Linked DNA regions of Caenorhabditis elegans. The protein of the gene in region 2 purifies or fractionates together with the protein of the main gene of each other region. This does not show direct contact. Each region holds a gene or a part of one and is shown on either strand. Other genes may lie near its edges.

What was found.
Region 1: the proteins of epg-7 (region 2) and atg-9 purify together in Caenorhabditis elegans (affinity purification with western blotting, with the first as the bait; one study listed by BioGRID). This does not show direct contact.
Region 3: the proteins of epg-7 (region 2) and lgg-1 purify together in Caenorhabditis elegans (affinity purification with western blotting, with the first as the bait; 2 studies listed by BioGRID). This does not show direct contact.

Annotation. Positions count from the first base shown.
Region 1 is NC_003283.11:347,630-351,387, reverse strand, and holds the start of atg-9 (Autophagy-related protein 9), read right to left. Parts: upstream 2,004-3,758; coding exon 1,971-2,003; intron 1,916-1,970; coding exon 1,785-1,915; intron 1,681-1,784; coding exon 1,623-1,680; intron 1,051-1,622; coding exon 844-1,050; intron 1-843.
Region 2 is NC_003284.9:7,332,560-7,336,317, forward strand, and holds the start of epg-7 (Autophagy-related protein 11 C-terminal domain-containing protein), read left to right. Parts: upstream 1-2,154; 5' UTR 2,155-2,219; coding exon 2,220-2,279; intron 2,280-2,327; coding exon 2,328-2,399; intron 2,400-2,448; coding exon 2,449-2,628; intron 2,629-2,675; coding exon 2,676-2,816; intron 2,817-2,918; coding exon 2,919-3,384; intron 3,385-3,439; coding exon 3,440-3,758.
Region 3 is NC_003280.10:6,346,305-6,349,480, forward strand, and holds lgg-1 (Protein lgg-1), read right to left. Parts: upstream 1,416-3,176; 5' UTR 1,383-1,415; coding exon 1,095-1,382; intron 1,043-1,094; coding exon 959-1,042; 3' UTR 656-958; downstream 1-655. UniProt on the Caenorhabditis elegans protein: Ubiquitin-like modifier involved in the formation of autophagosomal vacuoles (autophagosomes). When lipidated mediates tethering between adjacent membranes and stimulates membrane fusion during autophagy. Recruits lipidated-lgg-2 to maturing autophagosomes.

The DNA.
Region 1 (3,758 bases), on a different chromosome or scaffold from region 2:
AATGAGATTAAATACCAATATATGCAATTAAGGACAATAATTCCAAAAAAGCTAACTTCGGACAGATGTGACACGGAAAAATGGGGAAAATTCGTAATTTCAGATAAAATCAGTGTAATTTTTTCAAAATTTTGAACCGCCATAAAAAATTTTTGAAAAATTTTTGAGCAGTTTCATTACGAAATTCGTTCATTTGAGCTCATTTTGGGTCTATACGTTCAAAATCGTTCGAACCGTTAGTCCACCTTTAAAAATCTTTTTGAGATTTTTCAATTTTTTCAAAATTCCCTCTAAAATGAGAAGTCCCCCACCAATCAACATCTTCGAACTCCGCCCATTCCATCTGATTGGTTGAAAAGTGGGCGGAGCGAATCACTGATTGGTCTAATTTTTTTTTGTTGAATTTTCGTTATCGGAAAGTCAAAATCTGTCAATTATTAGTTTTCTCAAATAAGCTCCGCCTATTTATTGGTTTTATGTGTTGAATTCTTCGTTTTTCACCTTTTTTTGCGAAGAAAAGGCGGAATTTCAAATTTTTCGACTTTTTGATTTCCCGCGCAATTTAGTCACTTAATATCGACATTTTTGGCGTTTTTCGGGAATTTTAAGACATTTTCCTGAAAAAGCTTTAAAATTGACCTAGAAACCGATAATTTCAAAATAATTTACAGTTTTTCGGAAAAAAGGCCGAAGATATGAAAAAAATATTTAAAAATTATAAAATTTAGTCGGAAAACGCCAAAACTACGCAATAAATTTGCGCGGGAAGTCAAAAATAGTTTAAATTTTTTGAAATTGCCACGCCACGCCCAGAAAATGGCAGATTTTCGACACAAAACTCACCATAACAAATATAAATTGTAATAAACTGAACACTTTCTGCAAAACAATGCACAAATAACCGCCATTCTGATGATATTCGTAGATATGCGTGAAAAATTCGTCTAAATTCAGTACGTGGTCCCATCGTCGAGAGTTTAGCTGTGACGATGAAGCCATTGTTGGCGGACCATGATTGTGGGTGGCCGTGAATTGTTCGTAGTGAGTTTCCTGAAAGTAATTGCGGATTTTTGAGGGATTTTTTGGTTTTAAAGCGGGGAAAATTGATGGGAAATCGGTTTTTTCTTGAACTTTAACCAAAAAAAAACTAGGAAAATCTGATAAAAATGAGTTTTTTTGCGAATTTTTGAGGCATTTGTTATTTAAAAACGGGGAAAATTGGTGGATATTCGGTTTTTTTTTTTAATTTAACACAATTTCAAGTTGGTTTTGCAATTTTCTGGACGTTTTTTTGTCAAATTCAACTAAAAACTTTGAAAATCTTGAAAAAAAAAAAACATTTTCGTGGGTTTTTTTTTGACAAAAAGTACAGAAAAGTTGTAAAATCGATATTTTTTCGGGGGTTTCCTGGACATTTTTATCGGTTTTTATAGCGAATTTCACTGAAAACACACGAGATTCTAGCAAAAAGTGGCCAGAAAATCGATTAAAAAAAACGCTAATATGTTCGATTTTTCAGTTTTTGTCGAAAATTTGACTTTTTGCTAAAAAAATAGTGTTTCTTCAGCCTTTTTTTCCAATTTTTCAGCAGAAATCGGGGATTTTCAGGTCAAAATCCGTACCGGTGGCTCCTCGGCAGGTGAATCGTGATACGAGTGATGGGACGAGGAGCTGGCGATTCTGAAATTTTAAATTTTAGTGTTTTTCATCGAATTTTGCACTAGAAAAACATGAAAATCTCGAATTTTCGGTCAAAATTCGAATTTTTCGCCGTAAAAACTCACAAATTCCTCTGTTCATCATTGGAAGCGCCTCCAAAAAGCAGTGACCTTGTGGATGAGCCCCATCCTTGCATAAATCGTGACGTACACGTACTGTTACGCAGCACTTCATCATCAAAATCGTCGTCGATTTGCTGGAATTTCGAGAAAAAATCAATTAAAATAGTTTTTCTCGAAAAAAAAAATTACCTGATATGCCCGTTTTGACTGTGAGTTGAACATTTGATGGGTCTGAATGAGAAAAAAAATTTTATTTGAATAAAAAACGAGAAAACGCGAGAAAAACGAAGAAAAATCGATCAATTTCATCGACTGGGCTCACGCGGTGGGGGGTGCAAATGCAAACGCGCTCTATTGAACACGGCAGCTGGGGAGGGAGGGGGCACGTGAACAGCGGGTGGTGACTGTTAGAACTGGTATTTGAAGGGGAGAGAAGGTTAGGGGAAGAAAAATAAATAGGTTTTGTAATAGAAAACAGGAGAATTGAACTGATAAAATTTTAGAAATTGCCAAAAAAATTGATTTTTTTTAAAAATTACAGAAAAAAAGTTTTTTTCGAATTTTTCGTTAAAAAATACTTCATTTTTCCGTTAATTAATAATTTAAAACATAATTTTCCAATTCTTGAAGTCATTTTTCTGCCAAAAAACCTTGCTCAAACCCTAAAATTGCCCAGAAAATCGATAAATTACAGTTAAATAGTTCATTTTCACAGAAAAAGTCTGCCAAATAATAATTTTTCATACTTTTTTCTGGAAAAATATCAAATTTATGCTTGAATTATCGATTTTCTGGAGCAAATTTTGAGTTTCGGCCATTTTCAAAGTTTTTTAGCGAAAAAAATGTCTGAAAAATTGGAAAATTACCTTAAAAATTAAAAAAAAAAACGAGAAAAAACTGAACTAAAATAACCGGAAATCGAAAAAATAGCAAAAATAGGTCATTTATTTGCGCGGGAATATCTAAATTGTCTAGGCCTAACAATAAGCTTAAGCTTAAGCCTAAGCCTGTGCCTCAGAGCCGGCCCAGGACTAAGCTTAAACCTAAGCCTAGGCCTATTTAAGTAATTTGTTTCGAGAAATTTCAAAAATTAAATTATTGAATTTAAATAAATACTACAATTTTCGTTGAAATTTGGAGAAAAACCCCACACAAACCCAAAATTTTTGCTCATTTATACAAATTAATAAATGCCAGATGTCGGATTAAGGCCACCTGTCCATTCGATGAAGCGAGCTTTTTTAATCAAATATTTAGTTTTTCTATTATTATAATTGTTTAAATAATGAAAAAATTATTTTTTTTGTCAAAAGAAAGGATTTTTTTTTTGAATTAAAACTATAAAAAATTTGTTAAATTAAGAGCTTTTTTAAAAAAATTATAAAAGCAACTGTCATTTTAACGCCGCGTGCCTCCCCCCCCCCCCCCCCCCCCCAACCATTATTATCGAGAGAGAGAAAGTGAGACACAGAAAAATCACATGATTTGACCCTGAGAACATCGTTTTCAGAGGCGGGAGGGTGGTTTTTTTGTTGTAAAGTACAGATGAAAGTCTTACTATGAAGTTGAAATTTCGATTAGGATCAGAATTGTCGAATTTTTATCGATTTTTACTGTAAAGTCTGGGCTTTGAGGCTTGAAAATCACGAAAATCAACGAAACTCAGCAGAAAATCGGTTTTTTGTTGATTTTTAAGTTTTTTGATAAAAAAAATAAAAGAAAAATCGAATTAGAAGCGAAAAAAACGCCGAAAATAGTTGAAATTAATAAAAAAAAAGAAAAATAATCGAAAACAAAAAATACCGTAATCTTAAAGGCGCATGACGGAATTCTTGCCGGCACTGCTTATCGTTTCGAGACCCGACGCAACAAAAATTTAAAATTTCCAATTAAAAAAAGTTTCTAACATTTTTCCAAACAAGAAAAGGTTTTTTTTGTATAAAATCATTAGGAAACAAATTTAAAAAAAAACTAAAA
Region 2 (3,758 bases):
AAACGAATCTCAATGTTTTGATGAAAATTGAGTAAGTTACACTTTTTGACAGGAAATAAAACATTATTTTTAAAACTACTTTGAAATTTTATTACAATAATTGGTATTTTTTATAATGAAAAAAGTAATTTTAAACGTTCTACCCACTGACATCAATATGATTCAAGCGCCAAGTCTTATTTTTCGTTTTTTCCGAGACCATACAGTTTTCACTTTTAACTCTTAACTCCCATTCTCACCCGGAACTGAATATAATACAAAAATAATGATTATTGATAATCATATATATATCTCTCTTATCATTTTCCCAGTGATTTTTCTGTGTTCCCGAACGCAATTATTACCTGTATCTTTCTACCCATCTGAACAAAAGAGCAAACATTGAAAGACGAGAAAAAAAAACAAAAATATTTACTGGACCGTAAGACCGAGGTCAGATAAGATACTTGAAATGTTCTTCCCAGTGTTTTTCTAAGTATGTATGTATGTGTGTATGTGAGACGGTCGGCGCCTGTACTAGTTTGTTTCTGTTTTTGTCGCATACAGTTAGATGACTCTATTCTTAATTTTGACGTTTGCATTTCTGTGCTGAACCTGTGGTGAGCCTCCATCAATGTTTAATAACTCATCGTTTTTATTTCTCAACATCATAAGTTATTTAAAATGTATGTACATGTAAAACAGTTCAGTATGATCATTATTGTTTGCGAAGTCGGTGACAGAAATCATGTGGTTTTTAAGAAAAGTAAACTGTTTTCGCTTATGTACTTGAATAGTGTTTCACATTTTGTCAGTTGTATTTCAGTTATTGTTTTTCAAAGATAATAGCATACTGTAAAAATGTAACTTTTCAAAGCATTTTTTGTTTAAAAATTTCTATAAATCGGGCTGATTTCGTCTTAAGAGTGGAGTCGCGCCTGTGTTCATTCTTAGTGTAGAAACAAACTCTAGTTTTTAAAAATTGAAGGGCGAAACACGAATACGCAGCTCAAGCTTTCATGCATTCATATGGTGCTGAAAGGACCAAATATCGTAATAAACTGTTTCAAAAAAATTGGAAATGTTTTCGTTTCTAGTAAAAAACGGTGAAAACTCAGTTCTCAACAATTTTTTAGAAGTAGGTTTTCAAGAAAATAATGCTTTAATTATGTTGAAAATGTTTATATTCCAACATTGGTGGAGTTCAAACATACCACAGTTTTGGCGAAAAATGGCACGAACTAAGATTTTACAACTTTGACACAAACGTGAAAAATTCTAAAATGTTTTGAAACGTTTTATTTAATATTTAATATTTTCCTTTTCCAATAGGCAGGTTTTTAATCAGTTCTCCAGTGGCCATACTCCATATTCAAACCTAACACTATCCGGCCAGGTGGTCCCCGTTCTCCAATCGGCTCTCATCGTAAAAGATTAACTACTAATTCTTTTTGGCCATCTGCAGTGGTCAGACCCAATTTTTCTAAAGGAATACTTTTTTTTAGAGTTCTGCATTTGTTTCTCCAACTATGTTGTAGCATGTTGAAAAATGTCAGTTATTCAGTCATGAAACCTTGAAATCGATCTCAACAGTAGTTGAATTGATGAGATCAACCCACCTACAAATGTCAATGCACTAACTTTGTACTTCGCCATAAAATTCAAAATTTTACTTTCAGTCAGTTATGAAGTGTGGCGTCTCAAATTGTTCTACTGATAGCATTTTGAAATAAAAAAATCAAGATAATCAAAACACACCTGGTCACTCTAAATACCTTTTTACACTAACAAAATCATTCTCGTCTTGATTTCAACATCGATCTCTGCCCAACTCACGGGATGAATATGAGGGCCGTGGCTATGCCTGTGTCAGTGATGTGCGTGTGAGTGTGCAACAACGCTCACTGCCAACGCAAAAGTGCGTTGTGATGCAAGAGATTTAGAGAGAACGACAAAGAGGCAAAGGGAGCGTTTTCTGCCTCGCAGAGGAGGGTCTCCGCTCACAAGTCGGCCTCGTTTCTGCCTCTGTACGTCACGTGATTTGCAGCCGCAACACCACATTTGACGCAACATCACACAGTCATTTGCCATATCGACTCTCTTGTTTTTCTGTACTCTCTCTCGCTCATTTATCTCGTTCCAGATTATTTCCCAAAGCCGCTTGTTTTTACTCGATTTCCTCGTTATACCAATTTAATTTTCGACTTTAAAGTTAAGGTTTCAAATTTTTAGATTCAAAAATGATAATGTATCATATATTCTACATGGATAGGGGCCAGGCCATGGTATTTGATTTAAATGTAAGTTTAAAAACCTGGCTATCAACTCATGAAATAGTAAACTTACAGGCAGAAACTACAACATTCAATGTACTACAGGATATGGTATCCAAGGAGGTTGGTCATCGAATCTCTGATCTGGTATGTGTTTTGTCATTTATTGAAGTCAAAACGTGTAACGGATTTGCAGACTTTTCTTGATGAAAGCGGTACTACCCCGGATGGTAACAAAAGTTTGGCAGAGATCAGTACTCTTGGCACTGAAACATCTCCAGTGTACTTTTTTCTAAAATCTGGAAACGAAAGAGAAAACCACAACGGCAGTGATGTGACGTACATTTTTCAGATGATTGACGATGCTGTTGATCAGGTTAGTTGTTTTCAAAACATTTATAAGAAAGCAATCTTGTATTCCAGGCACAATACGTTCTGAAAAATCAGGACCCTCTGAAAATCTACATGGAGCTGCCAGAACGAGCAAAAAACTGTAGAAAAGTCTGCGCAGAGACTTTGCAAATGTGTGCCAGGCTGGTCCAACAGCATAGGTTTTTACATAAGGTAGGATTTCGACAAGAATTTTAATTATCAATATTTATTTGAAAGAATCTTTACCTTTCACGATATTCCAGTTACCAAAATTTACAATGGTAATCGTTTCAGGGTTGGTTGGCGTTGATTAACAATCTGGATATATCTGTCAGCAAAATGGACAAAAGGGGAAAGAAGTTCAAATTGGTACACTCAAAAAGCGAAGAACTCATTGAAAAGTCGGACACACTCCTGTTGAACTATTCCGACGTTGTTGAACAATTACGAAGGATCGAAGTTCCTTCGGAAATTTTTGTGAAACCAGCGTCTTTGATGACTTCCACATCAACTCCAATCAATCCAGACGAAAAATGTACATTGTTTGATTTTATTGCGATGGCTGATCCAGAAGCATCTCTTGATGGTTTACCTGACTTGGTTAATGAGAAGATTCGACAGCTCAAGGAGCAAAATGCTATTAGTGTATATACGAGGCTCCAATCTGTACATGAAACGTCGAAGAATCAAGAGTATCGAGATTTCAAGGGAATTAATAAACGATTTTCTCAGCTTGAGTTTAGTTTGAAAAGCTGTGAAGGTAAGTAAAAACTAGAACTAGGCCTATAACTTAAAATAACAACATATATTTTTAGAAAGAAAAAACTTGGTTCACAAACTAGTCGCTCAAATTTTGGAAACTCCGAAAATCAATGACCAGAATAAGCTACCACCAATTATCGAAGAACACCGTCAATGCATGCTGACTATTTTCGAAAACTTTTCAGAATTTCGAAATATGGTCCGCGTTTTTGATCAGTCAAAACAGGAAATTCTAAAAAATTTGCGAACGAGAATGTCTGGATTTGTGGTTCAAAACTACGATCGATTACGCGTTGTTCTCAACGACATTGTACAGTACGAATACAAAAGCAATGCAGTTCGCATTCACATGGATCTTATTGGTCAGATTCG
Region 3 (3,176 bases), on a different chromosome or scaffold from region 2:
GAAAATTTTGCAGATTTTTTTAGAGTTAGCCTACAGTACTCGGTCTCGAAACGGCCAAAACTATTTAAATACCGTATCCGCAAGTATTTGTTTTTAATTTTTCATGATCTCCTACAATTTTCCAAAAATGTATCGGTTTTTCCTTTAAAAATGTGGAATTTTAAGTGAAACTATTACAACAGATACAGGTGAAAATTGCGAAACACTTTTGGGTGCGGTAGCTGAAAAGTTTCCATCGTGCCGAGACCGGCTACCGTATTTTCGCATTGAAAATCTCAAACTTCTGCAAATGGGTAGTACCAAAATTGTGTCTCGAAAATGATAAAATATGCCAGAATCGAATCAAAAATGATTCCTAAGTCAACGTTTGAGCCCTCTTATGACATTTTCAGACGATGACAACTAGAATAAACTGTCATTTGACAGATGACTAATGGATACAAAGAGCCTTTTTGCCAAAAGTGTGTCACCATTTTCGAAATAAAATTCTCATTTTTCTCTATACTTTGTTCAGAAATCTACAATGATGTTTACGTAATACAAATGTGACGTCAATTCTATACAGATGAAAAAGTGATTTCGCAATGTGTATTGCTAACTGTTGGAGGTATTCCATTCGCTGGCCGAAAATAACGATGAGCATGAACATGAATTTGTTTGTGTCTTCTTCGTTTATTCATGAATCAAAAATTTGAAAGTAATAGCAAAAAAATATCAAAATCCGAGAGAAAACATGATTTTCTGGGAGGGGAGAAGAGCAACTTCGTAGACAATAGTTTGAATAGAAGTCACTACTCGGAACCGTCATACGAGAAAAATGAGAAGAAAATGTGAAGGAAATACAGAATTATTACAGAAAATGAGAAGATTTTTTTAAAGGGGCTTTGGGTTTCCATTAGAAGTATGAAATTTCCATTGTACAAGTATACACATTCGTCGGCGGATAATACATGACACTTTATTCCTTCTTTTCGACCTCTCCTCCATACACACTTTCGTCACTGTAGGCGATGTAAAGGAACAAGTCTTCCTCGTGATGGTCCTGTAATAAAGAAAAGGGTTAATTAAATGAAAATAAACGACTGGTTAGTTACCTGGTAGAGTTGTCCCATTGTGGTCATGGTTTGTGGAATGACATTGTTGACAAAGAAGAACAGAGCATCTTCTGGACGAAGTTGGATGCGTTTTCTGATGAGGAAGTAGAACTGTCCAACAGTAAGATCGGATGGGACCAAGTACTTCTTCTTATCCAAGTCATGGAGCTTTGACTTTGGTGCTTTCTCAACAATCACTGGAATACGGTCTGGGTACTTTCTGCGGATCTTGTCTCCTTCGGCACGACGCTTCTCAAAGTTGTTCTCCTCCTTGTAAGCCCACTTCATTTTGATTCGAAGGTTAGTGTGAAGAGAAGGTTACTGGAATAAAAATACTTTAAATCACAGAAAAATCATAAAAGAACCATGAGAGAAGAAAGGTGTAACAAGTGAGAGTGAATGAAGGTGACATCACATGGGTTTTGAGAGATTGACCGATTCGATAACACATTGCGAAATCTATATAAAATTGACGACGAGTACTAGTAAGGCAAAAAGAGCATGAGCAAGAATGGCCCGTGTGCAAGTGAGAGAGGGAGTGTGCGCGCACATCGGTCATATGAGAGCGCGTAGACGCAGGAGACATCCTATTGATTTTCTATGTTTGTCTGGCCTGGTTTTGTTGAGATGCAGAGAAACAGGACAAGTACAATGCAGCTGTTTAGAGGTTGTCGGGGAAACTGTAATTCTGGGAAGACTGAAAGTCGATCGATATATTAGTAACATTTATCCAATATTCACTAGTATCCATAACCAGTTTCTACGAATATTCTTAGCGCATTGTTCCAAAAAATTGAATTCTGAAAGACTTTAGTAATCAACTATTAACTAGATTAATATGACCGTTCAATAAATAATTTTGGTATGATTTAGCAATATTTTTAGATAGAATTGTTAAACCGTACATTTAATAGTCAAACTTGTGAAACATTTCTTAATTTCAAATTTCAAATCTAAAAAAGATTTTGATTTGAAACCGGTTTTTTAAACAAACCAACTAAAATTACAAACTTTTAAATAAAAAAGTACTGTCGCTACCGACGTCGCCAGAAAGTGAAAGAAATGGCAGAAAGTCGCAAAGAAGAGCGAGAGGCAAGACTGAACACACCAAGACGAATGGCACTAGCTAGAAAGAGAGAGAGATGAGAGAGGGGCGGAGACGACGAGACACCACGACTCAACATCATGTGACTGTGTCATACGGCGGCGAAACGAGACAGCAGGCAGAGGAGAGCAAGAGAGTATAGGGAAACATTGGATGGTTTGAGAGAAGTAGAGCAGCATGGTGTAGAATCATCGGGGTTTCAGGTGCCGATCGACAGATTGTTTGTTCTTAGATTCTTTTGATAGGAAATTTTAAACGTTAGAAATGATCAAAAGTGATAAAAGGTTAGAATAACAACTAGACAACAGTTGGTATTGAGTATGTTTTGCTATTAAAGGAACATAATATGCTAAAACTAAACGAAATAAACGATATATAACTACTATATCCATACAATAATATGTAGGTGGAAAGTGCATTAGCGACATAATTCTAAAATAAAGAGTTGGAGCAATGAGAGCATCATCCACATTCACAGCTGTCACCGTGACGTAGAATGTAATGAACTAGAAGAGGGCATTCAAGACCAGCTGGTAAAACGCTAGAACTGACAATATAAAACAAATCAATTAAAAGATCTTAAAGACATTAGGGTGCACTCCATGTAATCGATCAGAAAGGCAAAAATATAAAAAGGAACAAGATAAAAATTTGCCGGAAGCAAACCGAGAAAAAATATTAAAAAAATAACCAAACAATAAACCAAAGGTTAAAAATTTATAGACAGTCAATAGTGACGAAATGTTTTACACGGACAGAAGTACAATAATCAGAATAAAGCTATAAATATAAATAAATAAAAAATGATAGCTAACATGGAGAAACAATAAAAATATGAAAAACGCTTTTTTCTTTGAACCGTAAACAACGAAAATCTAAAAATTGCCGAATAAGTTCGCTTGTAGCCCAGGATGGAACATTTGGAAACTTGCTACTACGAAACATCGAAATGTCAGAAAAAATAAAAGTAAAAAAGT